Linked DNA regions of Callithrix jacchus. The protein of the gene in region 1 interacts with the protein of each later gene in a pairwise test. Links are inferred from orthologs where the notes say so. Each region holds a gene or a part of one and is shown in the gene's direction. Other genes may lie near its edges. The genes, in order: IPCEF1, CYTH2, CYTH3, CYTH1 and cytohesin-4.

Region 1 (5,663 bases):
ATATTGCACAGATGGTTCACAGAAGGCACTGAGCTGAGTTCTATGCTCAGTGTTTGGCTATTGGTTTCTCTGGAATGTTAGAAATCATGAGCCATGCCTTAGCACTACACCGTCTATAATACATGTTCCCATACTGAATCCTTGGAAATGGAACTCCAGGTTCACTTTGATTTGTACTTTATCACTCTCACTTCCAGTGAAAACTCTCCCGACCTGATACATGTAGTCATTTTCTCATTTTCATTTTTCTCTTCTCCAAGTCTTCTTCTTTCTTCTCTCTCCCTCTTTCTTTTTTACCCTTCATTCTTCTTTTCTTCATTTAAAAATGAAATTTATAAGTGGTACGTGGTGTCTAGAGAAAATGGGTTGAGAGAGCATTTGCACTGTGTTTGAGTCACACCACAAACAGGATGACACTGCACAGATATTTCTGATGCTCATTTAATAGGTCTTAATACTTTAAGCAGAGTTTTGAGGTTCAAAAAACCTTACAGACAGTGATGTAGCAACTGTGTGCATGGTCTCTTGTTCAAATAGCCCAGTTGGCTATAACCTAATTTAAAGCAGAATCAGCAGGAGTAATAGGAAAAGCTCATGTTTGGTGTTTCAAAAAAGAGATTGATCATGTAGAAATTGAGTTTTACTAAAATAGCTCACAATGGGGGAGCGTGTCAGGATTGGGCCAGAATAGATATTTTTGTTAATATTTATTTTGTAGATCTTGCTAATTAGTAAACTACTCCTAGTATTTATTTGGACAGTTTGGGATAGTGCATTCCCTCTGCTAGATAACTAGGTTTTTACTGAAATGACAGATCTTTGATCTGTTGGTTATTAAATATCTAAGTGACGTAAGATAGCCAGTTTACAAGCTACTTCACTTATTCCTGAATGGAATTTTTTTAATGTCCGTGACAGTATATGATCATTTATAAAATATGTGGGATTAGTATCTTAACTAGAGATTTTAATGTCATGCTACTTAAAAGTAGATTTATTGATTATCTGACAATCCATGTCGAGCATGGAGCTGATTGGGTACACATTAGGTAAATATTGGCTTCTCCCATGAAAACTCAGAGCTCAGAATCTACAAATTTCCTGTGGACCATATTGATTTGAAACAGAGTCAACTCTTCTGAATTAGTTGCTATGGTTCTGAGGTTTTTGAAGAGGATTCTAGTTTGCTCTTTGGCTTCCTCTCTCTATCAACCTTCCTGACACTTCCTTGGAGATTTTCTTGGTTTCTGTTTTTTTGAGATGGAGTCTCACTCAGTTGTTCAGGCTGGAGTACAATCACGTGATCTTGGCTCACTGCAACGTCTGCTTCCTGGGTTCAAGTGATTATCCTACCTCAGCCTCCCGAGTAGCTGGGATTACAGGCATAAGCCACCATGCCCTGCTAATTTTGTATTTTTAGTTTCACCATGTTGGCCAGGCTGGTCTTAAACTCCTGTCCTCAGAGATCCACCTGCCTCTGCCTCCCAAGGTGCTGAGATAACAGTTGTGAGCTACCGCACCTGGCCTTCCTTGGAGTTCTGAATGCTTGACATTGGCAGGCATGCCCCATAGGATGATGTAATGCAACTGAACCGTAAAATGCCTTCTCTATCTTATCTGCTGTTGGAAATATAGGGTGATCCATAGAGTACTGGAGTCTAGATTTTTAAATTTTATTGGCCAATAAAATTAAAAATTTTATTTAAAAATTAAAAAATGGAAGAACAAGATAGAATTTCTGAATCTTTATTTTGCTACTTAGGACATTTAAAAAACTCCAAAGAGACAAAGGCTTATATGTGCTGTCACCATTTTTTTTTGAGTTGGAGTCTTGCTCTGTCACATAGGCAGTGCAGTGGTGTGATCTTGGCTCACTGCAACCTCCACCTCCCGGGTTCAAGCAATTCTCTTGCCTCAACCTCCCGAGTAGCTGGGATTACAGGCATCTGCCACTGTGCCTAGCTAATTTTTGTATTTTTTGTCGAGACAGGGTTTCACCATCTCGGCCAGGCTGATCTTGAACTCCTGACCTCGTGGTCCACCCACCTTGGCCTCCCAAAGTGCTGGGATTACAGGCCTGAGCTCCTCCCCGCCCAGCTGCTGTCACCATTTTTTCAAAAGAAGGCATATATTTCAACATCAAAATGTAGGAAAGATAAAAATCTCAGAATAAATGAAGTTCTTCCCAAAAGTGTCCTTGTTGGTTATATTAGTCCATTTTCACATTGCTATAAGAGTGTGAAACTACCTGAGACTGGGTAGTTTATAAAGGAAAGAGGTTTAATTGACTCACAGTTCCACATGGCTGGGGAGGCCTCAGAAAACTTACAATCATGGTGGAAGGCAAAGGGGGAAACAAGGCACATCTTACGTGGTGGCAGGAGAGACAGTGAGCGAGGCGGGAACCGCCAAACACTTTTAAACTATCAGATCTCATGAGAACTCACTCACTGGAACAGCATGGGGGAAACCACCCCCATGATCCAAGCACCTCCCATCAGGTCCCTCCCTCAACATGTGGGGATTACAATTTGAGATGAGATTTGGGTGGGGATACAGAGCTAACCGTATCACTGGGATGTTGCTTTGATGTTTTCTCTCTGTACTAATGAAAATGTTGCCAAGGCTTGTCATGCAATAAGGAATAGGTGAGCGATATTCAAGGGTTTAGGTTCATATGCTTTGCACCCATCACTCATCTCCACTCAGGTAACATTATTTTGTTTCTGGAATGGCTCCAGCTTTTGCTCTCTTTTTCCATTTTGGAGGCAGAGTCTCACTCTGTTGACCATACTGGAGTGCAGTGGCATGATCTTGGCTCGCCACAATCTCTGCCCCCTGGGTTCAAGTGATTCTCCTGCCTCAGCCTCCCGAATAGGTGGGACTACAGATGCGTGCCACCATGCCTGGCTAATTTTTGTATTTTTAGTAGAGATGGGGTTTCACCATGTTGGCCAGGCTGGTCTCGAACTCCTGGCCTCAGGAGATCCACCCACCATGGCCTCCAAAGTGCTTGGCTTACAGTCATGAACCACCACACCCAGCTTCTCTTTTTTCATAATTATCTATTTGCTCCATCAGTGTGAATTCAGCAAAAGATTGCAAATTTTATTTTGCTCAAAGTATAATGCAGTATTCTGAAGGATTCCCAAAAGAGGCCCTTTAAGTTTCTGGAGAGCATTGAAGAATAGGACAACTCGTGATAAGGAGATTTTTCAGATCCTAGAACAGTGAATTGAAAGTTACATAAATCAGTTTTGGAGAATGAAATCCTAATGTGTGTCAAACAGACATAAATATCATGCCTTTATTTTTGACTCTTTTATTATTGGTCACTTTTTGAAATAACACGGGGACACCTTTTTTGAAAATGAAAGGTAGAGAATGGTGGTTTAATCACGATGTCTTTTATTCTTTTTTTGGTTTTATTTGTGAAAAATAGGCTGCGCAGCAGGCATCTTCATCCTCACCCAGCCTGAGTGGAACATCATGTTCTTTCTCTTCCCTGGAAAATACAGTGAAGACACCCAGCAGTTTTCCTTCCTCCTTATCTAAAGAGAGACAGTCCTGGCCTGACACAGTTAACAGTTTGTCTGCTGCTGAAGACGAGGGACAACCAATAACGTTTGCTGTGCAGGTTCATTCACCTGTACCTGCAGAGACAGGCAGCCACAAGGTCCCGGAAAACAGCTTTGTCACATCAGAAAGTGGATTTTTGAACTCTTTATCTAGTGATGATACTTCTTCATTGAGTAGCAATCACGACCATCTTACTGTCCCAGATAAGCCTGCTGGATCAAAGGTCATGGACAAAGGTAAACCAAGAAATTGTTCATTCTTCTTTAGAGAATGAATATTTGTGTGTGTGTATGGAACTCTAATATTAATTTGTAACAAGAATGGTTAAATTCATGAATGGTGATTCAAGAATTAGTCAAGTGGGGTTATGCCCAGAGGTTGCTTTGTAGAGGGGTTGCATGTGGCAACTCCAGCTACTAGGCCACTAATTACTTGCTGTAAGTGTCACTAACCAACTGCTTCAGAACTGTAAGACATGTGATCATAAAATAATGATACTTTTTCACTAATCAGAGAAAAACCTTGCCTCTTTCTTTGGTCCCATGTCACATGCTCTGGAGCTTGTGGTGGTTAAATCAGGACTTTGTAGTCTGGTATTTTTCACATTACATTGATAGTTCAAAATGAGCTGTAAGCAGCTGCCTTCCCTGGGTTGTGCCCCAGACACTGTCTAATTCTTAGCCCGCCAGCTCCTGAATGTTCCTGTGTGGTTAATGGGAAGACAATTTGCCCGCACTTTGTGCAGCATTAGAACCTTTACATATAAAGGAGAGCACAACTTATGTGTTTGAAAAACATTTTAAGTTTTAACAAAGGAAAGAGTTAATTGAGCATGGAAGGCAATAATATGAGGTTTAAAAAATACTCTGATAACTGGTCCTTACCTTTTATTCAGGACTAATGTATTTTTATTTCTGTTCTATCATAATGTCTTTTCTGATTGTGTGCTATTATTCATTTTGCTGTAAAACAGGGTTACCTGATGGAAGATACTGAGCAGTGAAAGAATGATGAGTTTGGTTTGTTTATTTTTTGGTGTGCCATTGAGAGAAAGTTGACTTGCTAGATTCCCATAATAACCTGCCAGAGTGTCTAATGATGTAGATGACCGCTCTCCCCTCTCCTCTAGCCTAATCACGGAAGACTTCTTTAAGTTCTCAAATTTCAGATGGGTACCCTGTTAATTTAATTTTTGGTATCAGAGTAATTTGGCCAAGGATCACAACTTTAGACCAAGTTGTTTTGTGTGTGCGTGTATCTGTATAGTGTTTTAAAACTATGTAAATTTGAATAGTCAGCCTGGTAACTAATTCTCCAGGTTATAATAGCTATCGCCACTCTCTGAGGCCTTACCTAAAGATATTTTATACAGATCTGTCTGGCCTCTGATGGAGTTTTTCTTTTTCTTTTCTTTCTTTTTTTTTTTATTGAGACAGAGTCTTGCTCTATCAGCAGGCTAGAGTGCAGTGGCATAATCTCAGCCCATTACAACCTCCACCTCCTGGGTTCAAGTGATTCTCCTGTCTCAGGCTCCCAAGTAGCTGGAACTACAGGCAAGCACCACTATGCCCAGCTACTTTTTGTATTTTTAGTAGAGATGGGGTTTTACCATGTTGGCCAGGATGGTCTCAATCTCTTCACTTCATGATCTGTCCACCTCTGCCTCCCAAAGTGCTGGGATTATAGGTGTGAGCCACTGCACCCGGCCTTGATGGCATTTTTCTTATACCCTTCCCCACTATTTAGGCCAACTATTTATTTTACATTAGAAGAACTGGAGTGAATAAAGTCATTGGCAAACCAACCTATTTGTAGAGGTGCAGGAGTAGCATAGGGAGGAGAAAGGAAATAGTGCCACCGAGGAGTGTAGAGGGCTAAAGACTGGACTGTGAGAACGGAAAGAGTAGTCTCAACCCACCCTCAGGTTTGTGAGGTGCTGCTGTGTGGACAAAGTATTGAGCTTAAATGCATGTCCTTGGAAGCACAAAATTGAGTTCAATGGTGCAAGTCAAAAGGAGGTAGATTTAACCTCAGCATAAGAACTTTGTTTTTGATGTTATGAGCTGTTCAACATAGAATAGGTT
Region 2 (6,463 bases), on another chromosome or scaffold:
AGAGTTTGGAGGAGTGGAGTTTTCTCCTAACTCCCCGGGGGAAGGAGACATCTCTGACATCTCTTTCTGCAGCTTCCTAAACAGCGGGCACTTTCCCAGCGCTGGTGCTGCTGCATAGCCAAGGCGCCCTCCAGCAGCCTTTACATGGGTATGACAGACGTTTAAAGCATCTTGCCTTAGGGTCATTCCTTTCACAACGTCACCCCAGGTTCACACTTTGCGACCTGAGAGTCATTAGTAAAAGAACTAAGATCACCTATGAGTAACTACTATGGTTATACCTCTAGTTATTTTCTTCTTCATTACTTCTATGGGAATAGGCTGAGGCTTCGGACTCCTGCCTTGGCACTTACCAGGTCTCCCCCCAACACTTGGGAGGCTGAGGCAGGAGAATCGCTTGAACCTGGCGGGTTGAGGTTGCAGTAAGCCGAGATTGTGCCACTTCACTCCAGCCTGGGCAACAGGAGTGAAACTCCATACTCCCCAAAAAAGGGGAGGGGCAAGGGTATGAGAGGATGAGAGGGACGGTGAAGTGAGGGAAGCCAGAGAGAAAGAAAAGGCCTTCTGAGATGGGAGAAGGAATCAGAGAGGAGGGAGGATGCTGAGGAAAGGGGAGTTGTCTTAGGGGGAGGATACTTGTGGAAGGGAGGAGTATTAGGAGGGTGATACAAGCTAAGGGAAGGAAGGCCGAGCTTATGCTTTCACAAAATTTGACCTTCCCATGTTCCATTCTCCATGACACCAAATAGCATAGCATTTAGAAAAAGTAAATCTTGGGCGGACGCAGTGGCTCACACCTGTAATCCCAGCACTTTGGGAGGTCAAGGCGGGCGGATCACAAGGTCAGGAGTTCAAGATCAGCCTGACCCACACGGTGAAACCCCGACTCTATTAAAAAAAAAAAACCGAAAATTAGCCAGGAGTGGTGGCGTGTGCCTGTAGTCCCAGCTACTCGGGAGGCTGAGGCAGGAGAATCTCTTGAACCCGGGAGGCAGAGGTCGCAGTGAGCCGAGATCGCGCCACTGCCTGGGTGACAGAGCAGGGCTCCACTTCAAAAAAAAAAAAGAATAAATCTTTCGTTTCACCACTCCATGACTCTGAAGAGGCTAAGGGGAATGGGGAGGGCATAGATGATGGTAAGGAGTTTGAAGATTAGAAGGGACTGAGAGGAGAGGAAAGTACCCGGAGAAGAAATGCAAAAGAGGCTCAAAGCTGCTCCCCGTTGCATGGCAACCTCTGCGGTCAGAAGCCAGCATGGGCTGCTAGGAGGTGTGGCTTTCAAAAACAAGCCACAGTTGTAGCCCCGCCCCCTGGCAACAAGACTAACAAAGTACCTCCCCCTAGCAACGCACCGCTGGAGGCGGGGTTCGGTTGACCTAGTCTCCCAGTGTCCAAGGCCTTTGAGCAGGCGCCGTCATGTCTGCTCCACATAGCTCCGCCTCCACGCAACACTTTTCCGAGGCTTCTCATTGGAGAGCAAGCCTGTCAAGGGCCATCTGTTGTTTCAGAGGCGGGGCCTGCTGCCCTGCCTGCACTCCGATTGGTCCCGCGGGCCGTCTACCTCCGGCCAGACATACCTATATCAGCTTTTTGTGCGACTCTTGGCCCTGGAGGACGATCCTTTGGTGTCGAGGGCGGGGAGGACGAAAGCGCCCACTGTGGATTGGACGGTGTCAAAAAGAGGGGCGGTCCCTACTGAAGGGGCGGTTGGAAGACGAAGGGAGGGTCTTTTCAGCGCTGAGGACTGGCGCTGAGGAGGCGGCGGTGGCTCCCGGGGCGTTTGAGCGGGCTCACCAGAGCCCGCGGGCCAACGCGGATCCAGGCCCGACTGGCGGGACCGCCCCGGACTCCCCGCGGGCCTTCCTAGCCGCCATGGAGGACGGCGTCTATGGTAGGTCGTGGAGGGGCGGGGTCGGATGGGAGCTGCTAGAGCGTTTTCTCCTGAACGTTCCGCCGCGAACGTTTCTTCCTGGTGCGTGCCGCCCAGAGGCGTTGGGTCCCGCCGTAGCCTCGTCGCGCCGCTTTTGTGGGGCGCTGGACGGGCTTCCGGCTGGAACCGAGAGCGGGGTGTTCCAGGCCATTGTTTGGGCTGAGCCTGTTTCCGGTGGCGGCGGGAGGGGCGGGATGGAGCGGTGGAGGCGCGGCCGAGGCGGAACCATTCCAGCTGGAGGGGCGGGCGAGCCCGGCGCCTGCCGGGGAGGGGCACTCGGGTTGCCGGGAGGGGAGAAATCTTGGGGGGCGGGGGCCGTCGATGTCCCGCCCCACCTTCCCAACTCTGTCGAGCTGTCATCAGTTCCCTTGGCTGTAGTGACTTTTCATGGACCCAGGAGTCCGGACAGCCAGGTCCTCAGCTACCACCTCTCCAGGAATGGAGTCAGAAAACCAAAGCCTCAGTCCCCTTCCAAGTAATGGACCTAGAAATTCCGGCTCCCAGCCCTTTCTTCCCTCAGACCTAAGAGCTCAAGCACCCATTCCCCTTCTCCCTCAGACTCAGGAATCCGGGCCCCAAGTCCACTCCTTCCCCAGGACTCGAGAGTTTGGAATCCAGGCCCCCAGTCCATTCTTCGGTCCAGACATAGGAAGCCCCTTATGCGTCCTTTCCGAGCTCTCTCCACCCCCAGACTGCGGGAATCCCGGCTCACAGCCCCCAGCACTGACTTTGAAACCTTGACCCTGACCCCCAGAACCCCCAGACCTGACTCCGGAGGAGCGGATGGAGCTGGAGAACATCCGGCGGCGGAAGCAGGAGCTGCTGGTGGAGATTCAGCGCCTGCGGGAGGAGCTCAGCGAAGCCATGAGCGAGGTGGAGGGGCTAGAGGCCAATGAGGGCAGGTGAGGGCTGGGGTGGACGACCTGGGGGGCGTGGGGTTGGCCGAGGCCAGGGATGTCCAGGCGTTGACCTTCCGCCCCCTACCCTGCTCTCTGCTCCTGCAGTAAGACCTTGCAGCGGAACCGGAAGATGGCAATGGGCAGGAAGAAGTTCAACATGGACCCCAAGAAGGTGCTTGGGGCCACAGGACTGGGATCAGCTGGGCAGACGTCCAGGCAGGAACTTCTGGCACCTCCGGGTTCCAGAAGCATGGCTCCGGGTCTGTTCTAGGTGGACAGACTTGGTCCTAATCCCTGGATTCAGAGACTGGCTGTCCGTTTGGAACACACAAAGTGTTCCAGCCCTCCTGACACTCTAGTTGCGTCCCCTGCCGGGAGGGTTCTCTTTCACTGTCTACTTGTATGGGTGCACTTCTTCTAGTCTCAGGATGAGCTCCGAGTCTTGTAGGGGCTGTGGACAAAGGGGCGTGCACAAACGAGAGTTGACTGCCATGACAGAGGTATCGGGAGGGGGCAGGCTGGTAGAGTCAGGGAGGGCTTCTTTGAGGAGGAGACATTCAGGTCAGGTTTGAAGGATGAATAGGTGTTCACCAGGTTCAGGAAAGTGTTTTGTTCACTTTTTTTTTTTACATTATCTTGCTCTTTCACCCAGGCTGGAGTGCAGTGATGCGATCTTGGCTCACTGCAACCTCTGCCTCCTGGGTTCAAGCAATCCTCCTGCCTCAGCCTTTCGAGTAGCTGGGCTTACAGGCTCTCGCCACCATGCCCAGCTAAGTTTTCTATTTTTAGTAGAGAAGGGGTTTCATCATATTGGGCAGGCTGGTTTCAAACTCCTGAACTTACATGATCCGCCTGCCTCAGCCTCCCAAAGTGCTGGGATTAGAGGCGTGAGCTACCATGCCCAGCCTGTTCACATACTCATTTAACACCCATTTTCCGAGGCCTCTTGAGAGTCTGATCCTGTATAGGATGATGCTAGAGACCAAAAGAAGAATCAGATGCTGCCCTGCACTCCCTGAACACCAGTAGCACAATTCAGAGTGAGATACGGCAGTAACAGAGAGGTCTTCATAGCACAGAGACTCAGAGAAGCCTCAGCCTAGCCTGGGCTCTTGAGTTCACAGCCCTGGAGAGACTGCTAACAGGTTGTCACGTTATTGTTTCCTGAAGCAACTGGAACCCTTTTCAGTCATTCAGTAACTGTTTATTGGCTGGTTTAGTTGGCTTACGCCTGTAATCCCAGTGCTTCGAGATGCCGAGGCGGGAGGATTGCTTGAAGCAGGAATTTGAGACCAGCCTGGGCAGCATAGTGATAACTCATTTCTAGAAAAGATGTAAATAAGTAAATCAATTATCCAAGTGTGTTGGTTCATGCCCATAGTTCCAGCTTCTCAGGAGGCTGAAGTGAGAGGATCCCTTGAGCCCAGCAGTTCAAAGCTGCAGTAAGCTGTGATCACGCCACTGCACTTCAGTCTGCAACAGAGCAAGACCAGGTCTCAAAAAAAAAAAAAAAAAAAAGCCGGACGTGGTGGCTCACACCTGTAATCCCAGCACTTTGGGAGGCCAAGGCAGGTGGATCACAAGGTCAAGAGATCGAGACCATCTTGACTAGCATGGTGAAACCTCATCGCTACTGAAAAACAAAAAAATTAGCCAGGTGTGGTGGTGCGTGCCTGTAGTCCCAGCTACTCAGGAGGCTGAGGCAGGAGAATTGCTTGAAACCGGAAAACGGAATCGCAGTGAGCTGCGATGACACCGTTGCACTCCAGCCTGGAGATAGGATGAGACTGTCAAAAAAAAAAAAAAAGAAAGAAAATGTAGTGAGCCCCTGTTCCTAGCCAGACCCTGTTGTTGATGCTGCAGTTAACCAGGCAAAGGCAGAAAGGGTGGGCCATGAGTTGCAAAGGCTCTAAGTCAGGAAGAATGCTGTTTAAGGACCTGTGAGAAGGCTGAAAATGAAGCTGGCCCTGGTCTGTTGAGGGTGGGGGTAGGTATGGATGCTGAGATTCCCCGGGAGGTGAGGGGAGTGGCTTTCTGGCCCTCAGCACTGAGACCTTGTTGTCCCCACCACCAGGGCATCCAGTTTTTGGTGGAGAACGAACTTCTGCAGAACACACCCGAGGAGATCGCCCGCTTCCTATACAAGGGCGAGGGGCTGAACAAGACCGCCATCGGGGACTACCTGGGGGAGAGGTATGGCCACCACTCAGCTCCCGTGGGGTTTCTCACCCGCCCCCCCATGCCCAGCTCCTGCCCTTACACTGGCAGCTCACAGGTGGGACATCAGAGAGGCTCTGGCAGATCATCCTTCAGACTGACAGAATGGACTGACATGGGGGTTAGGAGAGCCTGCGGCCAACTGAAGCATCTGGGGGTGCAGGGACCTTCTGGAATTCCCTGGGGCGGGGGTCTGGAGAGGCATCCATTTATATCTGAACAGTGGAGAACATCTCTCAAGTATCTTGGGAGCGTGAGAACCATGGGTGGACCATGGCTGTGCATGGGCACCATGTGGTCAGCTGGGAGCTGTGGGGACTATTGGGCCCTCGTGGACGCCTAGGAGTTGTGGGCGTCATTTGTAAGCCTAGGATGCATGGGACTGGACGGGAATCAGATGATTGGAGGCCATCTGTGGACTTCTGGGAATCAGGGATTTATAGAGATCTGGGGTGTGTGGGAAGCATCTCTGGGTGTCTGGCGGCTGTGGGGACTGTGTCTGGATATCTGGGGAGTGTGGGGATCATTTGAGAGAGGTGCTGGTCAGTGGCATATGTTCTTGCCGCGTTTCTCCCAACTGTGCAAAGGTCCGGCCTAACCAGGGTTCCCAAGGCAGGTATTCCTCCCAAAAGTGTGTTCTGAGCATCCCCCACCCCAGGGCCAGGCCTGTGTGGGAGCCCAGTGGGAAGCTTCACCCTCTGCAGAGGGCAGCTGTGGTGCTGAAGAGTGGGCACAGCTTCCCTGGGGCCCTGCTTCCTGCCCACTCCTGCCCCGTCGTCTCCAAACTGGATGTGATTCTGTCCTGTCCTTCCAGGGAAGAGCTGAACCTGGCAGTACTCCATGCTTTTGTGGATCTGCATGAGTTCACCGACCTCAATCTGGTGCAGGCCCTCAGGTGAGTGAGGGGGAGGGATCTGGAAGGGCAGGAACGTACCTGTCAGGGCTTTTCTAGTTACAGGGCTTTTCTAGTTACAAGCAACAAACTTTACTCAAGAATAACACAAAAACAGGCCAAGCACGATGGCTCACGCCTGTAATCCTAACACTTTGGGAGGCTGAGGTGGGTGGATCACCTGAGGTTAGGAGATCAAGACCAGCCTGGCCATCATGGTGAAACCCCATCTTTAAAAAAAAAAAAAAGAAAGAAAAACACAGAAAGAAAAACTAGGGAACTGAGTGTGTCCTTTACTATCAGAGTCTGGGCTTATGGCCTCCTTCAGGCATAGCTATATCCAGGAGCCAAAATAGTGGCAAAAAGTCAACTTTCTTTGTCTCTTGTGTTCACCACTGAGACAAAGTGTGAGCAGTGTGTCAGCATTGCTCTCTGCAGACCCTCTTACCTGATTACAACCCCAGACCTGTCTAGCAAACTTAGCAGAAAGAGGCTATTTCTGTAGCAATGCACAACACTCCCATG
Region 3 (6,407 bases), on another chromosome or scaffold:
CACGGTGGCTAATACCTGTAATCCCAGCATTTTGGGAGCCCAAGGCAGGCAGATCACCAGGTCAGGAGATCGAGACCATCCTGGCTAACATGGTGAAACCCAGTCTCTACTAAAAATGCAAAAAATTAGCTGGGCATGGTGGCGTGCACCTGTAGTCCTAGTTACTTGGGAGGCTGAGGCAGGAGAATCGCTTGAACCCAGGAGGTGTTCAAGTGAGCCGAGATCATGCCACTGCACAGAGAGAGACTCTGTCTCAAAGAAAAGAAAAAAAACTCTGAGAGAAGCACCTGTGGATCACATTCGAAGACATCTAAAGAATTGACATGAAAAAGCATTTATAATTGATAGTATCTTTGAGTTCAAAGCTCCACTATCTAATTATCAAGTTCAAAGTAGTGGTGTCCTTTTTTCTCAGTAACTATGCTCTTATCTCCAAGATAACAAAGCTGACGGGAACAAGATCAGGAAGCCAAGTCTGGGGGTTGGGAGTTGAACCCTACATCTCCTGACCCCTAGACCCCTTTTCTGGTGCCTCTTTGTCACTCAAGCTGTAAATATCTTTGCATGCAGAAGTGTCCCTCAGCTGGGTGCAGTGGCTCACGACAGTAATCCCAGCATTTTGGGAGGCAAAGGTAGGAGGATCGCTTGAGTCCAGAAGTTTGAGACCAGCCTGGGCAACATGGCAAGGTTGTTTCTCTATAAAAGAATACAAAAATTAGTGGACACCTGGTAGCCTGTACCAGCTATTTGGGAGGCTGAAGTGTGAGGATCATTTGGGCCACTGCACTACAGACTGGGCAACAGAGTGAGACCCTGTCTTTAAAAAAAAAAGAAAGTGTCCCTCGTGGCTTTGGTTGCACCAGAATGCTTGGTTTTTAATTCTTGAGGTTATTAGGAGATTTAACTCTGAAATCATCTCGCAACCTTGAACCAAAAGGTGACAGCTATTCCACTTTGATAGATGACAACGGAAGGATCCTTTGGTTCAATGGACAGCTTATAAATATAAAACAGTTGCTGGAAAATTATATTAGAGATGAACTATCTCCTCCATTACAATGTTTGCTTTTCTGTAATGCAATTTAGTTCCAGCAGAAAGGCTTGGGAGAGGCCACAAGCAATGCTTCAGGAGTTACTGGAAGCAAGATATGGGGAATGAGAGAAGAGATCCATCGATGTGGAGCAGGGGCCAGCCGAGGCCTTGTGCCCAGGAGGCTTGCGCTGAGGACCCTTGCTTTGCCCAAGGGAAATTGAATTCAGAGCTCCTTCTGCATCATAAATTCAGGGCAGCTGGCAGCTCTCCAAGGGATACTGGCGCTAAACTCCAAGGGCATCTGCCGCCAGATTGGCCAACCCCTACAATGCCCTTTGAGGGCTGAGCCCCAGGTGTGTTGGATTGGGATGCCGATCCAGCCTCACGACAGCATTCATTTAGAAGCTCTGCATTTTGTTAATTTAAAAATGCACTCACCGTCAGGGAAGGAGAGCCTCTATTATATATGAGACAGCTGAAAGGCTGGAATTATTCTGACATGCCTATCTTAGGAAGGAGAAGGCCTGACCTTTTTCTTCCTTTTTTTTTTTTTTTTTTTTTTTTTTTTTTTTTTTGAGACAGTCTCACTCTATCACCCAGGCTGGAGTGCAGTGGTGCAATAACTCACTGCAGCCTCGACCTGCTGGGCTCAAGTGACCTGACCTCCCACCTCAGCCTCCCCAGTAGCTGGAACTACAGTCACGCGCCACCATGCACGGGTAATTAAATATGTTTTTTGTAGAGACAGGGTCTCCCTATGTTACAGGAGCTGGTCTCGAACTTCTGGTCTCCAGCAATCCTTCCATTTCAACCTCTCAAAGTACTGGAATACAGGTGTGAGCCACCGAGCCTGGCCAGGTCTGACTTCTGAATGCGTTCGTTTTTTGATCTTTTACCCCGAGTGCAAGTGCAAGTTACACTCCTGACCACTGGGTTTTGCAAAATGTGGTTTCCAGTGTCCGAGGCCCCACGCCCGTCCGCAGGCTACTGAAAGGCTGAGGGCTAGGAAGCTTCGCTCCGCGCGCTTCAGGTCCGCCGGCGCCCTAGGGGCCGGGTCTACAGCAGCAGAAGCCGCCGGGCCGGGCCGGTTCCCGAGGGCGGGGCCGTGCGGCCTCACGCCCCGCCCACCCCCGGGGGGGGGGCGCCCTGGGTCGGTCACGTGACGGCACGCCGACCAGCGAGGCCCCGCCCCGCGGGAGGAGGCCCCGCTGCGACCCGGGCTGCGCGCTGAGGAGCCGCCCGGTCGCCCGCACGCTACCTCTGGCTGCGTCCCCCGCCCGCGGCCCCTCTGCCGTCCGCCCGGGGCTTGCCGGCTGCGGGAGTGGCCTCAAGATGGATGAAGACGGCGGCGGCGAGGGCGGTGAGTGTCGGAGGTGTGGCGGGCTGGCCGGCGGCCTGGGGCCGGGGGCTGGGGGTCGCGGGCGCGGCGCCGGCCCGGCGTCCGCCTGAGGAGACTGGGACTGGGGCGGCGGCGGCGCCTGCTGGAGGCCTGAGGCGCGCCGGGCCGGGGCCGAGACGGGGACTTCGGGGGCCCGAGGGAAGCGGCTGGCCGGGGTCGCCGTCCAGCGCTGGCGAGGGTCCCGGTACCAGGCCGGGGCCACCGCGGGCCGGGGTCGCCCCAGAGTCTCGGGCGGAGGTTCGGGGGTCGCTCCTATGGGGCGGGGGACCTTGTGGGGCGACCTTCCCCGCATCTTGTCGCCAAGGGCGTCCACGCCCTCCGGAGCCAGGCGTTTCGGACGCCCCCTTTGAGCTCAGGTGGGCGGAAGCGGCTGAGCCGGTGGGGAACCGGGAGGGGAAAGTTTGGCATGGGGGGCTCCTCTGGGGTACAGGAGGGGAGGGCAGGGGGAGCGGTTGGAAAGCGTGACAGGCTGCTTGGCTTGGGTCAGAAACGGTCGCCGGATTTGCTCGAACGGGGAGGGGTCTAGCTGGAGTCCAGGTGGGGGTAGGCGTTTTAGGAAACGGCAGACGCGACAGAGTGAGCAAAAAAACTCGATGGAGCGGAGGGTGGGGGTCAGGAGCTGCACCCAGCACCGAGGCGAGACCGGAGAGCCAGATGTGCTCCCAAGTGGGTCGGGTCGGTGCCCGACGTGCCCCAGGTGGTCTGTGCCTGACATTCGGTTTCCTCTTACTGGAGGAATCGTGTTTGTTGGAAATTATTTCGTGGAATACAAATGACTGTTGGGTCATGCTGCGAATTAGATTTTAAAAACAGAAGAACGTGCCTGTCTGTATGGAGTGGCTGTTCGCTTTGGAAAGCAAAGGGTTAATGCCTATGTTTTTACAGGAACAGACGAAGTTGAGGTTCTCTAGACTTTTTTCATTTTTGGCTTTTTTTGAGCTAAAGATCTCCTTTGAGCTGACAGAAATCAGAATCATCAGAACCTCATGTAATAAGGGAGCAGTTTAGAGAAATCTTAATTACAGGCTGCCGCAGCAGCTGCCTGTAAGAATCAGCAGTATTGAATGCTTCAGGATGAAGTGGTTCATCATCAAGGTGCCTTCTAGAATTCAAGTGCTGCTTAGAGGGAGATTCTTTTTGCTGAAAGACGCGATGCAGCCAGGATGGTGGGAAGTTGGCACCCGTCATGGCATTTGGCGAGTTCAGTTCTCATAGTTGAAGCTAGGGGTAGCACTGTGGCATCGAGTGGGTGTGTTTATGAAAAGGGAGCGTTGCGGAACGAAGGAGCCCAGTTGCAAACCCTCCTACAGTCAGGTTGTCCGTCTGGAGCCACGAGATCCTAAGGAATGGATTCCCGGTGGAGGTCGTGTTTCCTGCCTGTCATAATTTGGGCAGAGCAGTTTTCTCTTGTTAGAAAAGAAGGACAAACAACTGTAATATGCAGACGTTTGGCATTAGAGTCAGGGCAGCTCGCTGGCTTGGCAGTTTGTTTTGTACTTTGGGCTCTGAGAAAAGAAATGTAGACTTGAAGATAAAAGCAGGGATAAAGAGGAAAAAAAGGAAGCTTTAGTGTGCTCCAGCAATTTGCAGATCTTGAATAGTATAACAAAGGATGATATTAAGTATCAAAAGTCTTAAAACTGTCCTTGGGCTGTTATTATTATCACAGGGAAGCAACCTTAAAATAAAAAAAAACCTCATGTATAAAGATGGTGTATTATGCTGTTTGTAATAGCAAAACATTGAAAACAGCAATACCAACCGTAGGGGCATGGTGAAGTAAATTATGGAAAGTTTATTCAAGTATTTTACAACCATTAAAATAAGCGGTTTTATACATCATGGGTTAAACAATGTAAAAACTGGTGACATTATGGATTATTTTATTTTTTTCAAGTTTTCCAAGTTTCTGGAATAAGCATGTATTTCAAATTTGAAAAAACTTATAAAAGACATCAATGTTTTAAGTGTATTATTTAATTCACCTCACCAGAACATTCAACAATGAAGATTTATTTATTGATTGCCCAGTAAAATGCCAGCCAGCATGTTAGGTGCTGGAAAATAACTTTTAACTTTTATCGATTTAGTTTATAAATAGCTTTCTCCCTTGCTTTGTGACAGACACTTAAAAATATTTTTGGTAGACTGGGTGCGGTGGCTCACTCCTGTAATCCCAGTACTTTGTGAGGTCGAAGAGGGCAGATCACCTGAGGTTGGGAGTTTGAGACCAGTGTGACCTACATGGTGAACCCCGTCTTTACTAAAAATACAAAATTAGCTGGGCGTGGTGGCGTATGCCTGCAATTCCAGCTATTCAGGAGGCTGAGGCAGAAGAATTGCTTAAACTGGGGAAGCAGAGGTTGTGGCAAGCCAAAATCGTGCCAACGGTTGAGTTTTGAGCGAAACTCCGTCTCAAAAAGAAAAAAAAGAAAAAATACACACACACACACACACACACACACACACACACACCGTATATATTTAGCAGTCTTAGGATAAGTATTTATTTTATTTTATTTTGAGACAGTCTTGTTTTGTCTCCAGGCTGGAGTGCAGTGGCGTGATCTCCGCTCACTGCAACCTCCGCCTCCCGGTTCAAGCAATTCTCCTGCCTCAGCCTCCCAAGCAGCTGGAACTACAGACGGGCGGCACCATGCCCAGATAATTTTTTATATTTTAGTTAGAGACAGGGTTTCACTATGTTGACCAGGATGGTCTTGATCTCTTGACCTCGTGAGCCACATGATAAGTATTTATTTTTGAAACAGGTGAAAAGCAAAGTTTTGAAATATGAGTCATATTGTAATTATTGTATAAACTTGATGTGCTTATATTTAACTCTTGGCAGTTGGAAATTTTGAAGTTAACATACCTCTTTACAGTTAATACCATTTAGCTTTAAAAAAATGGTTTAAAATTCATGTTTAAAAAAATAAAGTTCAGCTCTCTGATGGAAAACCATTTCAGTTGCCAGCAGATTATAAAGCATAACACTTTTTGGTATATTTTTAGAGTGTAATACTTAACATTGAATTGTATCTGTGGGAGTCAGTTTCAGCTTGTTTAAAAGATAAAGTAAATAATCTATTCAAACAGTAGTTATGGTAGAGGCCAAAGATAATTTAAAATGTCTTTTTTGTTAATGGTCAGACTATAAGACTTGAAAAATTGATTCCTACTTGCTGTTTTTGTAAGTTAATTTAGCTTTTTGTCCACTGTATTGTTTGTTCTTTAAATGCAAGATAAGGAGAGAGAGGATGGTAGTGTGAATGGCTGGAAAGCAGTTACAAGAGGAGCAGGTTGGGGGTACAAGATTGCAAGAACACGTTGTTCCTTATAATGTGTGCAGAGTGGAGTTAAGGCATTTTTAATTCCTTTGGGACTTTGTTGCCCTTCAGTTTTTCCAGAACAGTTCTTGAGCTAAGTCTCTGCATGGAGGGTGACTGGCTAGTTTGGCTCCTTGGAATTGTCTTCATGCCCTGTTTGGGCTGGAGCATCCCTGGCAGATGAGATGAATTAACTCTAATTGGCATTCCTCACCCTACCTCATTCCCTCTCTGAGCAGTGTAAGTGAGGGTTAGGTCTGTGCTTCAGGTGAAGCGATGCTGAGCCTCGTTCATAATAAAATATATGCAAATTAAGACTAGATTGAGCTCCCACCTTTCACCTTCAGACATGCAGTAACCCCCAAGTGTGAAAAGTCTGTTGGCAAGGCCATTTCAAACATTTACGGGTAGGAGTGTAAGTTAGTCACAGGAGACCGGGCCAGTCCATGTCCTCCAGGCTCAGATCCATTTCTTCCTGCCCTGTCCCTGCAGGGACTCATCCCTGCAGGCAATATTTCCCAGGCTCTTGGTCAGCTGGCTTCTAGCTGGGATTGGCCACTGAGAGCCACTGGCAGGAGGGTTGGCAGGAGGAAGGATGAAAACAGGTTATTTCCCCTCGATCTTCCTCAGGCAGTGTCTGTGGCAG
Region 4 (6,358 bases), on another chromosome or scaffold:
TTACTTGTTTCCCTGCCTTTCCTGCCTCAATAGAGTGAAGATGCCATGAGGGTAGGCATTTTTGTCTCTTTGGTCCTCTGATGTCTCACTAGTGGCTGGCACTTACTGTGCTCAATGAATGTTGAACAAAACAGATAAGACAAAAGATACAACTATTTTTGTAAAAACTTCTTAAAAAGTGACAGGTTATGACAAAATATTTGTAACATTTATTACAAAGGATTCGTAATCTACAAATAACTTTTAAAATGATAAGCAATAGAAAAGTGGGCCAAGGATTTGAAAAAGCAATTTACGAAAGAGGATATACCTCGAACTTATAAAAAGATAATCAGCGTCACCAGTAATCAGGTCAGTGCAAATGACCAACAGCAATGAGAAACCGTTTCCCGCTGTCTCATGGCAGAAGTTAAGTTTGGTCCCATGAGGGAGTGGCAAGCATTTCAGCAGCATCTGTGAAAGCTTTAAGTACTCTGGTCTCATGACCAGCTTTTCTGCCTTTGGGTGTCTATTCCAGAGAAACGCTATACCATTTGACTGTAGGTAGAAAATAGAAGTGACCTGTCCTCTTGTAAGTTCGGATCACTGGCTGTGAATCAGACCCGATACCAGAAGATAAGAAATGCTGTTTGGGAATCATTAAACATAGGTTTTAAAATGGTTCAGGGTGGGACTTAGAGCTGTGATTTTGACATACTAAACCAAAAGATGACATGTTGGGTTATGTTAGTTTCCTCTACAAAACAAAGTGTTTTTTATTTTTTTTTAAATACATGCATATGTATTTATTTAGCTATTATTAGGCAAGAAAAAAGAGAATGTGATGAAGTCTCTGGCCTTGAGTCATGTCAGCACCTGTGGTCACTTTCGGAGTATGACTGGAGACAGTGCCCTCTTGTCTTGCTGTAGATGTGTGTGTTTCCAACTCCCCAATAAGACTTAGCCAAAGTCTAGCACTTCCTGCAAAGCTGCTGCAGGAGTTTACTTTTTTTTTTTTTTTGAGACGGAGTTTCGCTCTTGTTACCCAGACTGGAATGCAATGGCATGATCTTGGCTCACCGCAACCTCCGGCTTCTGGTTTCAAGCAATTCTCCTGCCTCAGCTGGGACTACAGGCACGTGCCACCATGCCCAACTAATTTTTGTGTTTTTAGTAGAGACGGCGTTTCACCTTGGTGATCAGGATGGTCTCGATCTCTTGACCTTGTGATCCACCTGCCTCGGCCTCCCAAAGTGCTGGGATTATAGGTGTGAGCCACCGCGCCCGGCCAGGAGTTTACATTTACAACCAAGACTAGTAAGAGAAGGGTTGGGAGTCTAGCAGAGAGCATGGTACAGAGGGTGGGCTCTGCTGCCAGGTCTCATGCTTTGGCAAGCTGTGTAACCTCTCTGGGTGCTGGCGTTCTCATCCGTGACCTGGGGATGGAGAGGACACCCACCCTATGGGATGTTTTCAGGATTGGATGAGTTAGGTCATATCAAGCTAGGCAAGAAGTAGGCATGCAGTAAGTGTGACCTACTATGGTGGTGTGGTGGGAAGCTATATCTGGATCCAGGAGTTCTACTTCCAAGAATTAAAGAGAAGTGTCAAAACGTGTGCACCTGTGTATTGAGATGCATAGAAAAATTGGAAATCACTTAAAAGTCTTACAATATGGAACTTGTTAAACGTTATGTCTAGACTGTGAATAATAATAAATGTGATAGATGTCCATTTACAGTCATGAAAAAATGTTATAAGTAAAAATAGATGGTTTTAAAACAGCATGTAAAATATGTACACACACACACACACACACACACACACGCAAATATACATCAGAGAGAGAGAACATATATAATATAACAGAAGTCTAGAAAATATATGCCAAAATGTCATCAGTGGTTATCTCTTGGTGATGGGATGCAGGTGTTTCTTTTTCTTGTTACTATTTTCTAATTTTCAACAGTGCATATGTGTCATGAACATAATAGGACTGTGCAGAAAAGAATATTTTTGTACAACATGTTAGGAATCATAATGGGATAAAACCAAACTTATACTGAGAGTTTGGCTTTTGGATTTTTTTTTTTTTTTGCCTCTAATATCTGCTTTCTACTTTTAGCCTGTGACCTCATAACTTGCTGTAATGATTACGATCTCTTAGTCATTCTCTTGGGAAATGTGCTATTATCTCATTGTGAGGGGACCAGGGATTTTAAGGATTCCATTTTAAGAAAATGTAGTCGGCCTTCCATGGGCTCCCCATCCATGGATTTAACCTATTGTGGATGGAAGGTATTTGGAAAATAAACAAAGGTCACACCTGTACTGAACACATACAGACTTTTTTAATGTTCTTTAAACCATCTAGCCTAACAGCTGTTTACAAAGCATTTATATTGTATTAGGTTTTGAAGTAATCGAGAGATGATTTAAAGTATATGAGTGGATGTGTGTACTACTTATATGCAAATACTACACCGTTTTATACAAACTCAAAGATTCAAGCATCTGTGGGTTTTGGTGTGCATGGGGGTTCCTAGCACCAGTCCCCCTTGGATACCAACGAACAACTGCACTGGAAAGTGAAGAGAAAAACAGCAGCGAGCCCTGTCTATGACGTTGGTTGAGCCTGAGAAAAGACTAGAAGTGTGGCTACTAAATTAGCTTGAGTCCACTGTGAGATTGCTTCCAGGGAAGCAGACGGTTAACACACTCAGAAGGTGCGTGAGCTTGACTTCAGGAACTGGGTGGTGGCAGTGACTGGGAGTGCCGCTTCTTTGGAGGCTGGAGGCTGATTGGCCCAGGCATGCGGCCAGCCATTGCCTGTCTGTTCAGGAAGCAGCTCTGAGCTGTCCTAGTGGCTGGACAGCTTCACAGGTATCCCCGGCCCCTCCCAGTCAGACCCCACAGGAAAACTTGGCTCCCAGTAAAGTCACTGCTGTCCTTGAAGGACAGAACGGACTTGTTGTGTTCTGCTGTAAGGAAACAAGATGGTCCTTAAAACTGAAGAGGAGGATGGTGAGTCACTGCCGCAGCCCCTGGCAGGGACTGATGTGACTTGGGGTATATGGAGTGGAATTTTAGGTATCTCTTAATCCTGTGAACATAGTTTACTGAACCTTTTGGGGAGGAGTTAAGGACCAACCTAGACTCTGGTTTTTGTTTTTATCTTACTGTTTTCAGGAGAAACACTGTATAGTGTCTTAGTGGTTAGGAAGCTGAGGCTTTTTCAGGGGTATGTGTGTGTGAGAGAGAGAGAGAGAGAAAGGGAGAGAGAGCTAGTAAGGTAACTCTGTCTTTTTGAACCAAAGAGTTCTCCTCCAATCTTTGCTTTCGTTAGAGTTCCGCCTTGGGTGTTTCTTGGTAGATTCCACTTCATACTTGGTGATTGTATCTACTTCCTGTATCGAAATAACAGTTGGCCAGAACTTCTGGGAATTCCACATATATCCGGAGAGAATCTGATGCTAAAAAGTAAAGACATTAGAGATCAGATTGGAAGAACCAGTGAGATTCGGGATAAAAAATATTGTCTTATGAAATAAAATGTATCTAAGGGAAAAGACAAATTTGGTCTTCTCCTTTTCGTTGTAGGTGAAGACTGTTTGAAGCCTGTGAGGACAGGGTCTGTAGAACTTCCTTTATCTGCTCCACACCCGTCCTGTAAACAGTGGAGCTATGAGTAATGGGATGACAAGCTGTGGCTTCTAAACCCCAAGAGATTCTGCTGAAGAGCTGTGTCTTAAAGCCCTGGGCTAGCACAGGAGTTCTGTTTGTGGATATATGTGTGTTTTGTTGTATTTTATTGTGGCACCTTTATCAGATGGTGATGCTGTAATGCTGTAAGACAAAATAGTAAAATGTGTACTGGCTTGTAGCTGGTAATGCATGATATAAATAAGTTTGCAGTTAATATTAGGGTACATTTGAAAGTGGATTTTGTGAAAGTTGTAATAAAATTTGGGGGTCCTCTTTAGGCCTTTCCTGCTCTGGTTCACTATAAAGCACATATTTGAAAGCCATACCTGTTAAGTGCAGATGATCCTGGACAGCGACCATAGGCAACACCAAAAGCTGCCTCATGTGTGGGAGACGCTGGGAGGGAATGACACACAGGTGTCCATAACAGCGCTTCTGTAGCTGAAGAGGAGACAATAGCGAGTGGCAGTGCCAGGCCAGTGCTGAACTCCTGCTTGATGTTTTTGTAACTGAAAGGTGCATCCATACTAGCCAAGACTGAGTTTCGAAGGGAACACTCTGAGAGTGGCAGAGGACACTAATGACTGCTAGGACGGCAGGAGTGAGCCGGGCCTGGCTGTGGTCCTGGACATGGTCCCTCATGCTTACTTGCTGCTGGTTCTTCTGGGTGAGCCCAGCTTCAGACCACCCAGAGGTGCTGTTTCATAGTCATCTCAGAGTTTAAGCACAGGATCTATACATCTGTCCTGGGCATGCACTCAGTCTCTGGCCATCCTGGAGGCTTTAAAAGTCAACATAAACTACCTGATTCCACAGTGGACATGATGGAGGCGGGGCGTGAGGTTAGGGGTGGGGAGTTTGGACATGGATTACTGAGCAGCTTTGCTTTGAACTAGTAACCTTAAAGAACTGATGCTTCTGCATTTCTGTCACCCCCTTTCATGGTGTTTCCTTGTTGTCACCTGGGACTGAGGGCAGTGTTGCCCCTTCAACCATGCTAAAATAGATGCCCCTAGGTTATTGCCGTGAGAGACAGAGTGGCATTTAGCTAGGTGTAAAGGGAGGGGAACCAGTAGAGTTTCCTCTGGCAGGTCCCTGAAATCCCAGGGGAGGGCAGAAGTGAAGTCAGAGTTATGCTTTTCATAGAGCTGCTTTTAACTAGACTTACTGCCCTAAAGAATATGCCTAAGAAAGGGTACATGGGGGTTTTTGAAAATATTTTTTAAGGAAGTCAGACTCTTCTGCCACACTAATCTCAAACCCACGGTTTTTAGATTAAATATATTGCTGGCTGGGGCTGGGCGTGGTGGCTCAAGTCTATAATCCCAGCACTTTGGGAGGCCGAGGTGGGTGGATCACCTGAGGTCAGGAGTTTGAGACCAGCCTGGGCAACATGGTAAAACCCTATGTCTATTAAAAATACAAAAATTAGCCTGGCCTGGTGGTGGGCGCCTGTCATCCCAGCTACCTCGGAGGCTGAGGCAGGATAATTGTTTGAACCCGGGAGGCGGAGGTTGCAGTGAGCTGAAATCGCACCACTGCACTCCAGCCTGGGTGACAGAGCAAGACTTTGTCTCCCCCACCCAAAAAAAAAAGCTTTCTGCCTTTCATACCTGGTACATATGTTCATCAGTTTTCATTCTGTATGTGTGTGTTAGTGAGAATTAACCAGTATAATTAATTTTGCACTGTTTTCTTAACTGCCAGAAATTATTCTTTTTTTAAAGGTATTTAATCTTGTTAATGGTTAGTCTCCCTTGATTTGCCTTTTTTTTTTTTGAGACAGAATCTCACTCTGTCGCCCAGGCGAGAGCACAGTGGTAGAATTTTGGCTCACTGCAACTCTGCCTCCTGGCTTCAAGCGATTCGCCTGCCTCAGCCTTATGAGTAGCTGGGACTGCAGGTGCATGCCACCATGCCCGGCTTATTTTTGTATTTTTTGTGGAGATAGGGTTCGCCATGTTGGCCAGGCTTGTCCTGAACTCCTAACCTCAGGTGATCCACCCACCTCAGCCTCCCAAAGGGCTGGGATTATAGGCGTGAGCCATCACGCCTGGCCGTAATTTGTCTTTGAACCCTCTCTGTGGCGTCTCTTTGGGATGGAATGCAAAATCTTTGATGTGGACTCTGATGCCCTTCACAGGCAGACACTAAGCCCGCTCCCAGGTACTAGTTGAGGCCTGCTGTGTCCTGGGCCCTGCCCTGTGGTGTGCCCATTGTTGCTGGCCTCTGTCACTTCCAGAAACTTTATCTTGCTTGGTATGCACTGTTCTTTCTGCTTTTCCATCTGGGGAATCCATTGGTCTTCAAGTTCTGGCACCCAGTCTGCCCTCTCTGAAGCCTCTTGGCATTGCCTGGAATTCTGTGAGTACTGGCTGCACTTGGCTGCTGTGGCCAGACGTGCTGCTGCTACTGGCTTCCACGCTTCTCTCCACTGGCCTTTGCATTCTGTACAGGGCAGGGACTGGAGCTATTTAAATCCCAGCCCCAAGCACAGGCTGCGTCTATGGCAGATGCTCAGTAAATGCTGAGCTGAAGTGAATGTGTGTATTTCAGTAGGAGGAAAGAAAGAGCTGAGGATGCAGCCAATGACCTGAGTGTGAATTGGGCTCTATTACTAGCGTACCTGAGGTAGATGATTTATACTCACTGAGTCTTCATCTTACCCGCAAAC
Region 5 (6,236 bases), on another chromosome or scaffold:
CTTGTAGCTAGAGTTCACATCCACCACATGATCTCCACCATGTTCCCTTCATTCATTCATTCATTCATTAGTTCATTCATTTCACACTTGCACACCCTCTATGTCACCAGCATTGTACCAGATACCAGAGCACAAAAGGTAACCTTGCCCTCATGTGGCCTGCAGAGTCATGGCGAAACAGATAAACAAACCTTCGTGTGCCATGAAGTTATAGGGAGTTCACATTTATTTCATAGCTGTTTGTTTATAGCACAGCTTTTCCTAGAAAGGATTTGAACCAACCTGCCCAAAAAGGCACAAGCAACAAATGATGAATTCTAACCAAAGAAGAAAATGGAAGTAAAAGGAGAACGTGCTTACTGAGCACCTCGTATGTCCCAAGCATCTCTGACACATCCTCTCACTCCATCATTTCTAAATCCCAGAGTTAGGCCGAGGCGGGTGGATCACGAGGTCAGGAGATCGAGACCATCCTGGTCAACATGGTGAAACCCCGTCTCTACTAAAAAAACAGACAAAAATTAGCTGGGCATGGTGGTGCAGCCTGTAATCCCAGCTACTCAGGAGGCTGAGGCAGGAGAATTGCCTGAACCCAGGAGGCAGAGGTTGCCGTGAGCCGAGATCGCGCCATTGCACTCCAGCCTGGGTAACAAGAGTGAAACTCTGTCTCAAAAAAAAAAAAAAAAAAAACTAAATCCCGGAGTTAGTGTTACTCCCCGTTCATAGATAAGCAGGCCGGGTGCAGTGGCTCACTCCTGTAATCCTAGCATTTTGGGAGCCACAGCGAGCGGATCATGAGGTCAGGAAATCGACACCATCCTGGCTAACACGTTGGAATCCTGTCTCTACTAAAAATATAAAAAATTAGCACGGTGTGGTGGCATGTATGTGTAATCCCAGCTACTCAGGAGGCTGAGGCAGACGAATCACTTGAACCTGGAAGGTGGAGGTTGCAGTGAGCCGAGATCACACCACTGCACTCCAGCTTCGGCAACAGAGTGAGACTCCATCCCAAAAAATAGATGATTGATAAATAGATAGATAGATAGATAGATAAATAGATAGATAAGCAAAGCAAGGCTGACTAGCCCAAGTCCACATCGATCCTGAGGGGCAGAGCTGAGAGTCAGACAGCTGAGTCAGGCCCCAAAGTTCATACGACATCACAGAATGGCTGTTGATGAGCTTTGGATTTGATGATGAGCTTCCCAGCAGCCTGGGGAGAAGGAAAACAGAACATATTACCCGATTGCTCACTAGACAAGAAAAAAACAGGTATTTCTTTGAAGGGAAGCAAAGCCCCTTCCTACCATTGGATTCATTTGTCTTTTCTCAAGTGGGAGTTGGAAGAGAGCTTGTGGGGTGGAACCTATTGGTCCCGCTAGGTCTGCCCAAGTTGCTTGTTCCTATGGGATCTATGTGAGGAGGCTGCCAGGTAAATGCCCCAGTCCCCTGGAGAAGGGTTCACCCTCAGTGAACATTGTCCGCCGTGTCTGTGCGTGTGTGCGTGTGTGTGTGCATGTGTTTGTGCCTGTGTGGGTATGCACGTGTGTGCATGCATGTTCGCGTGTGCGTGTGTGCATGTGTGGGTGTGTGCATGTGTGTGTTCGAGTGTGCATTTGTGCATATGGGTGTGCACGTGCGTGCATGTGCGGGTGTACGTGTGTTCGTGTGTGCATGTGCGCGTGCCTGTGCACGTGTGTGTGCCTATGTGTCTGTGTTTTTCTCTGTCTCACTTTCTCTTTTTTATCTGACCCTCCCCTCACTTCATGTTTTGTTTGTTTGTTTTTTCCACCTCTGTCCCTCCCTGGCAGAGGTCCCTGCTGTACGAAACTCTGCCAGTTTTTAGGAAGTGCTGCTGTGTCAGAAGCCTGCACACGAGACCCCAGTGGGCCAGGACTGACTTCCTCCCCACACAGAGCCGGGCGGGGCAAGCAGGAAGGGGCCTGTGACAGTCAAGGTGACGCATCCTTGCCAGGCCAGCCCGAGCAGCAGCTGGGTCCACAAACGACAGGAGCACAGGTCATCTTTCCCCCCAGGGGCATCGGAATGGACCTGTGCCACCACGGTAAGCACCTGGGGTCGATCTCTCTGGGCCTCAGCATCCTGTCTTTTAGAAAGGGGGCAGCAGCCCCTGCCTCACAGGGTCCTAGATAAGGGAGTACAGTACAGGCAGAAATGCAGCTGCAAGAAACAAACATTTGCGGGCTCAGCCGAGGTGTCCAGTTGTGTTCCAGAGGCTGGGCACACAGCAGTGAGTAAAGGCACGCTGTGCCCACTCTCATGGGCTTGTGCCCTAGAGCGGGGGACAGGCAGTGATTCTAAGGTCATGTCACATGTCCGTTGATGGCAGGTAGGATGAAGGACTGTAAAGCAGGACAAGGAAGATGGGAGGGCGTGGGGGAACAGGTCCCCAAGAGGGGATGCTATCTAATGAGGGGTCCCAGATCATGAAGCAGGTGTCAGCTAAGGAGGTTTCTAAGGAACAAACATTCCAGCCAGAAGGAATAGCTGGTGCAAAGGCTCAGAGGTGGACTGGGAAAAGTGCTCTGAGATTAAGATGATGATGTGATGTTGGTGATGGCAACGTTTGTCTGGGTGATACAAGGCCCCTTCTTGGCCCTCTGGGCTTGGGGTGGTCTCTGGGGAGGCTGAGGACACTGCCTAGAGCCAGGGGAGGGCCAGGAGTGAGCAACAGAGGGCCTGACTGAAATCCTCCCTGGCTACTAGGACAGCGTGTCTGGGGAGAAAAGAGGGAAAAAGAGGCTGCAACATTGGTGAGGGAAAGAACAGGCAGGGTCGTGCTTTGGGAGGCAAATGGAAGGTGCAGAAGAGGGGCCAAGTTTCTGCACCCTGGATGTCAGCGTGCTCCAGAACCGCAACCGTTCTACTGAACACGGCTGCTGGAATTTCAGAACATAAGGGCTGGTGGGAGCTGTCTGCTCCCCGGGTCCAGGTGACTTCAGCCTTGTCCAGGAGCACCCCTAACGTGGAGCATCCTGGCCCCACCCACTGGGCTTCCCCCCACTCCACCCCCAGATGGAAGCCTCGGGGCCGGGCTGCAGGGAACACAGTTAGGGAACCTCTGATCCATTTCAACAGACCCCAGTGGAAGAAGGGAGAAAAGAGACCAAGGGAGGAAAACAGCCTCTCTAAAGCAGGGGCGGGACCGAACCCTGGCCACTGACTCACTCTCTGACCCCTGCCTCTCCTGTGGGCTTTGGGGGCTCCCACAATCACAACTCAGTGAGCATAGCTGGTGGGGTACCTGGCAGGCACAGGGAGACCCCGAGAGGGGCGGCTCTTGGCTCAGGCCTCTCAGCAGATGTGAGGGTGGGACGAGGCAGAGAGGGCACCCACTGAGATGCAAGCCCCGCCTGTGTGTCCAGCAGGGTGCTTTGTCCTTTGTGGTCCTAACATACTGAGGTTACAGGGGTGGCTCTCTCCATGGTGCAGATACAGAAACTGAGGCCCCAGAGGTGAACTGGAGGCAAGGACTGACTTGCTTGATGTCACACGGCCAGTCCGTGGCAGAGCAGGGATGAGAACCTGAGGAAGAAAGCCCAGGTTGGCCGGCGCTGTGGAGAGGGCAGAGGAGGGGCCTCGGGGGCCAGAAGGGGAGTCTCTGCTTGCTTCAGCTGGTACTAGGGAGGAAATGGATTAAATGGGGTCAGTACAGCAAACACTGGTTCTCCACTGAGTGGTTGGTCTTTTCGTTCATTCACTCTATAACCGATGTTCCCGTGTGCCATGCAGTGCTGGGGACAGCAGTGACCCAGCCATGGGCCTAACCCTGGGGGACAGGTGTGGGTCTGAATGTTGGGGGTGGGGTAGAGAGGCAGGAGACAGATTCTGCAGGACCCTGACCCAGCTGTGCAAATGGACACAGACCTAGAGATAAGAGAAAGCACTTTTCTCACTGGGGCAGAGGAGATCTGGGAAGACCTCCTGGAGGAGGAGGCCAGGGGGAGGGAGGAGAGGTCATTTCCCTGTTGCGTAGAGTGGGTCTTAATTGAGGCTTCTCCATGGCCCGGTGACTTCCCCTCTCTGAGTTCCGATTATTTGTCATCTCAGTGTGGATCCCCTCATCCTGGCCTGGCCTGGGGAAGCGGGGATAGGGCGTTAGCCGGATCTCGCTGGGGTTCCAGCTCTGCGCCATCCTGCCTGTGGTCATGACCAATCTCTTCTTCCTGTGGGGCCTCAGTTTCCCACCAGGGCTGCCTCCCCCGCTCTCCTGCGGTGGGCCTGTGTCCGGAAACAGGTAAGGCGCCCCCCGCCCCCGGCGCCCCCAGGGCCTGCCAGGAAGGCAAGAGGGCCGGCAGCAAAGATGAGCACTGCGCTGGTGCAGAGTAGACAGGCCAGGCAGCCATGGTTAAAAACAGGCAGCTGGGCTGGGGGACAGGAAGCCGCACTCCGCAGAGCCTGTAGGGCGTGTGGGCTGGGGCGGGGAACAGCTCCGCCCACACCCCCTCTGCCCCAGGGTCCCTCCCACTGAGACTTTAGGGCCCTGAGACGGTGCCCTCCTCCTGCCTGGAAAGGGGAAGTGAGGCCAGCTGTCCTGGAAGCAGGGCTGCAAGCTCAAAATTTCTAAAAATACAACGGGAAAGAGGAAGGACAAAGGGGAAGTGAGGAGGAGCCCGGGAGATGGGCACCCTCGCCGGCCTGGGGACTTGGGGTGGGGGGGTCCAAGCGGTGCCTTGCAAGGTTGTGAGAAGCACAGAGATAAATGAGGAGGAAACGGGGTCGGTGGTGGTGGTGGTGATAGTGATTTTATTGTTTTTGTGTATCAGCAGTATAATTAAAAATACATCTCCCAGCCAGGCACGGTGGCTCACGCCCATAATCCCAGCACTTTGGGAGGCTGAGGTTGGCGGATCACCTGAGGTCAGAAGTTTGAGACCAGCCTGGCCAACATGGTAAAACCCCGTCTCTACTAAAAATACACAAAAAATTAGCTGGGCATGGTGATGGGCGCCTGTAATCCCAGCTACTCAGGAGGCTGAGGCAGGAGAATCGCTAGAACCCAGGAGGCGGAGGTTGCAGTGAGCCGAGATTGTTACACTGCACTCCAGCCTGGCCACAGAGCAAAACTCCGTCAAAAGAAAGAAAGAAAAGAAAGAGAGAGGGAGAGAGAGAAAGAAAGAAGGAAAGAAAGAAAGAAAGAGAGAGAGAGAGAAAAATACGTCTCCCATGAGCCTACACCAGTGCCTGAAACTCCGTTCTTATCAGGCTTAGAATCAGAAGCGGCCCCTCTCAGGCTGTGTCCTAGTGGCCCTACCTGAACCTCAACGCCCTAAACTCTGAAATGGGGAGAAATCACCACTCTTTAACAAATAGGGGAAGGGTGAGGAGGCTCCGTGTGCACCATGTCAGGATACAGCAGGCCTGGGGCCATCGGCGCCGTCATGTGGGTTCAGATGTTTTGACTGACTGCCACCTGCTAGGGACGGGGCCCCATCAGAAGGGGACAGGGGACTGAGGATTCACAAACACACTGTCACCCACAAGGGAGTACGAAAGGAGTGGTGTGGGGTAAAGACGCGAGCAACCTGCTTACTATCCCCATGCAATCCCACTCCCCTGGGAACCGTGCCTCAGTTTCCCCAGCTCTACAATGTTGGCTTTGCAAGGGCCGGGTGGGGGCGATTGCAGGCATCATTCTGCATCTTGTGTTTATTCTCAAACATGTAACCCTGTCAGAAACCCAGGTTTAGCGTCTGACAGGTGTTTGACGGTTCGTACAGACTGATCAGGCTCTGGAGGCTCTACATCAGGGCTGTGGCCTCTGGGCCCCAGATGGGCCCTGATGTGAATCCCAGCCCTGCCACCCTCCAGCTGTGTCACCTTCAGCAGGACACTTTGCCTCTCTGAGTCTCAGGGGCCTCACCTGTAGGATGAGCCTGGAAATACCTTCCTGACAGAGTGGTTGTGGGATTCAATGGGAGAGTGGATGGGAAGAGCCCGGAGTGCACAGGGCCTGGCACACCGTAGGTGCTCGGTGGCATGCCTTCCTTAACCAAGGGCATGGCTTGGTTATGGAGCCATGCAGATCCCAGAAATGCTGTGGGGAATTGCAAGGGGTGGGGGTGGGGATGGCTCCTAGATGGAACCCAGGAAGACCCCTGAAAGGGGATCTAGAGTAGGACATAAGGAGGAGCTGCTGGCAGAGGAGAAGGAAGGGCATATTCTAGGCGCAAGGAGTGGTGGCGCAAAGACTTTGGGAAAGTGTTGGAAAT

What was found.
Region 2: the proteins of IPCEF1 (region 1) and CYTH2 interact in binary tests that used the Homo sapiens proteins (3 or more experiments, as listed by UniProt). The link is inferred for Callithrix jacchus from reciprocal best matches to the Homo sapiens genes IPCEF1 and CYTH2.
Region 3: the proteins of IPCEF1 (region 1) and CYTH3 interact in binary tests that used the Homo sapiens proteins (3 or more experiments, as listed by UniProt). The link is inferred for Callithrix jacchus from reciprocal best matches to the Homo sapiens genes IPCEF1 and CYTH3.
Region 4: the proteins of IPCEF1 (region 1) and CYTH1 interact in binary tests that used the Homo sapiens proteins (3 or more experiments, as listed by UniProt). The link is inferred for Callithrix jacchus from reciprocal best matches to the Homo sapiens genes IPCEF1 and CYTH1.
Region 5: the proteins of IPCEF1 (region 1) and cytohesin-4 interact in binary tests that used the Homo sapiens proteins (3 or more experiments, as listed by UniProt). The link is inferred for Callithrix jacchus from reciprocal best matches to the Homo sapiens genes IPCEF1 and CYTH4.

What each region holds. Positions count from the first base shown.
Region 1 is NC_133505.1:160,969,546-160,975,208, reverse strand, and holds part of IPCEF1 (interactor protein for cytohesin exchange factors 1), read left to right. Parts: intron 1-3,442; coding exon 3,443-3,815; intron 3,816-5,663. UniProt on the Homo sapiens protein: Enhances the promotion of guanine-nucleotide exchange by PSCD2 on ARF6 in a concentration-dependent manner.
Region 2 is NC_133523.1:42,349,433-42,355,895, forward strand, and holds the start of CYTH2 (cytohesin-2), read left to right. Parts: upstream 1-2,290; 5' UTR 2,291-2,317; coding exon 2,318-2,405; intron 2,406-2,684; coding exon 2,685-2,832; intron 2,833-2,934; coding exon 2,935-3,001; intron 3,002-4,903; coding exon 4,904-5,022; intron 5,023-5,860; coding exon 5,861-5,941; intron 5,942-6,463. Other genes in the region: uncharacterized protein LOC128930433, read right to left, coding at 1,583-2,290. UniProt on the Homo sapiens protein: Acts as a guanine-nucleotide exchange factor (GEF). Promotes guanine-nucleotide exchange on ARF1, ARF3 and ARF6. Activates ARF factors through replacement of GDP with GTP.
Region 3 is NC_133503.1:15,992,385-15,998,791, reverse strand, and holds the start of CYTH3 (cytohesin-3), read left to right. Parts: upstream 1-2,234; 5' UTR 2,235-2,365; coding exon 2,366-2,393; intron 2,394-6,407. UniProt on the Homo sapiens protein: Promotes guanine-nucleotide exchange on ARF1 and ARF6. Promotes the activation of ARF factors through replacement of GDP with GTP. Plays a role in the epithelial polarization.
Region 4 is NC_133506.1:134,495,605-134,501,962, reverse strand, and holds the start of CYTH1 (cytohesin-1), read left to right. Parts: upstream 1-2,891; 5' UTR 2,892-2,975; coding exon 2,976-3,003; intron 3,004-6,358. UniProt on the Homo sapiens protein: Promotes guanine-nucleotide exchange on ARF1, ARF5 and ARF6. Promotes the activation of ARF factors through replacement of GDP with GTP.
Region 5 is NC_133502.1:208,189,867-208,196,102, forward strand, and holds the start of cytohesin-4, read left to right. Parts: upstream 1-1,950; 5' UTR 1,951-2,049; coding exon 2,050-2,068; intron 2,069-4,049; exon of another isoform or gene 4,050-4,261; intron 4,262-6,236. UniProt on the Homo sapiens protein: Promotes guanine-nucleotide exchange on ARF1 and ARF5. Promotes the activation of ARF factors through replacement of GDP with GTP.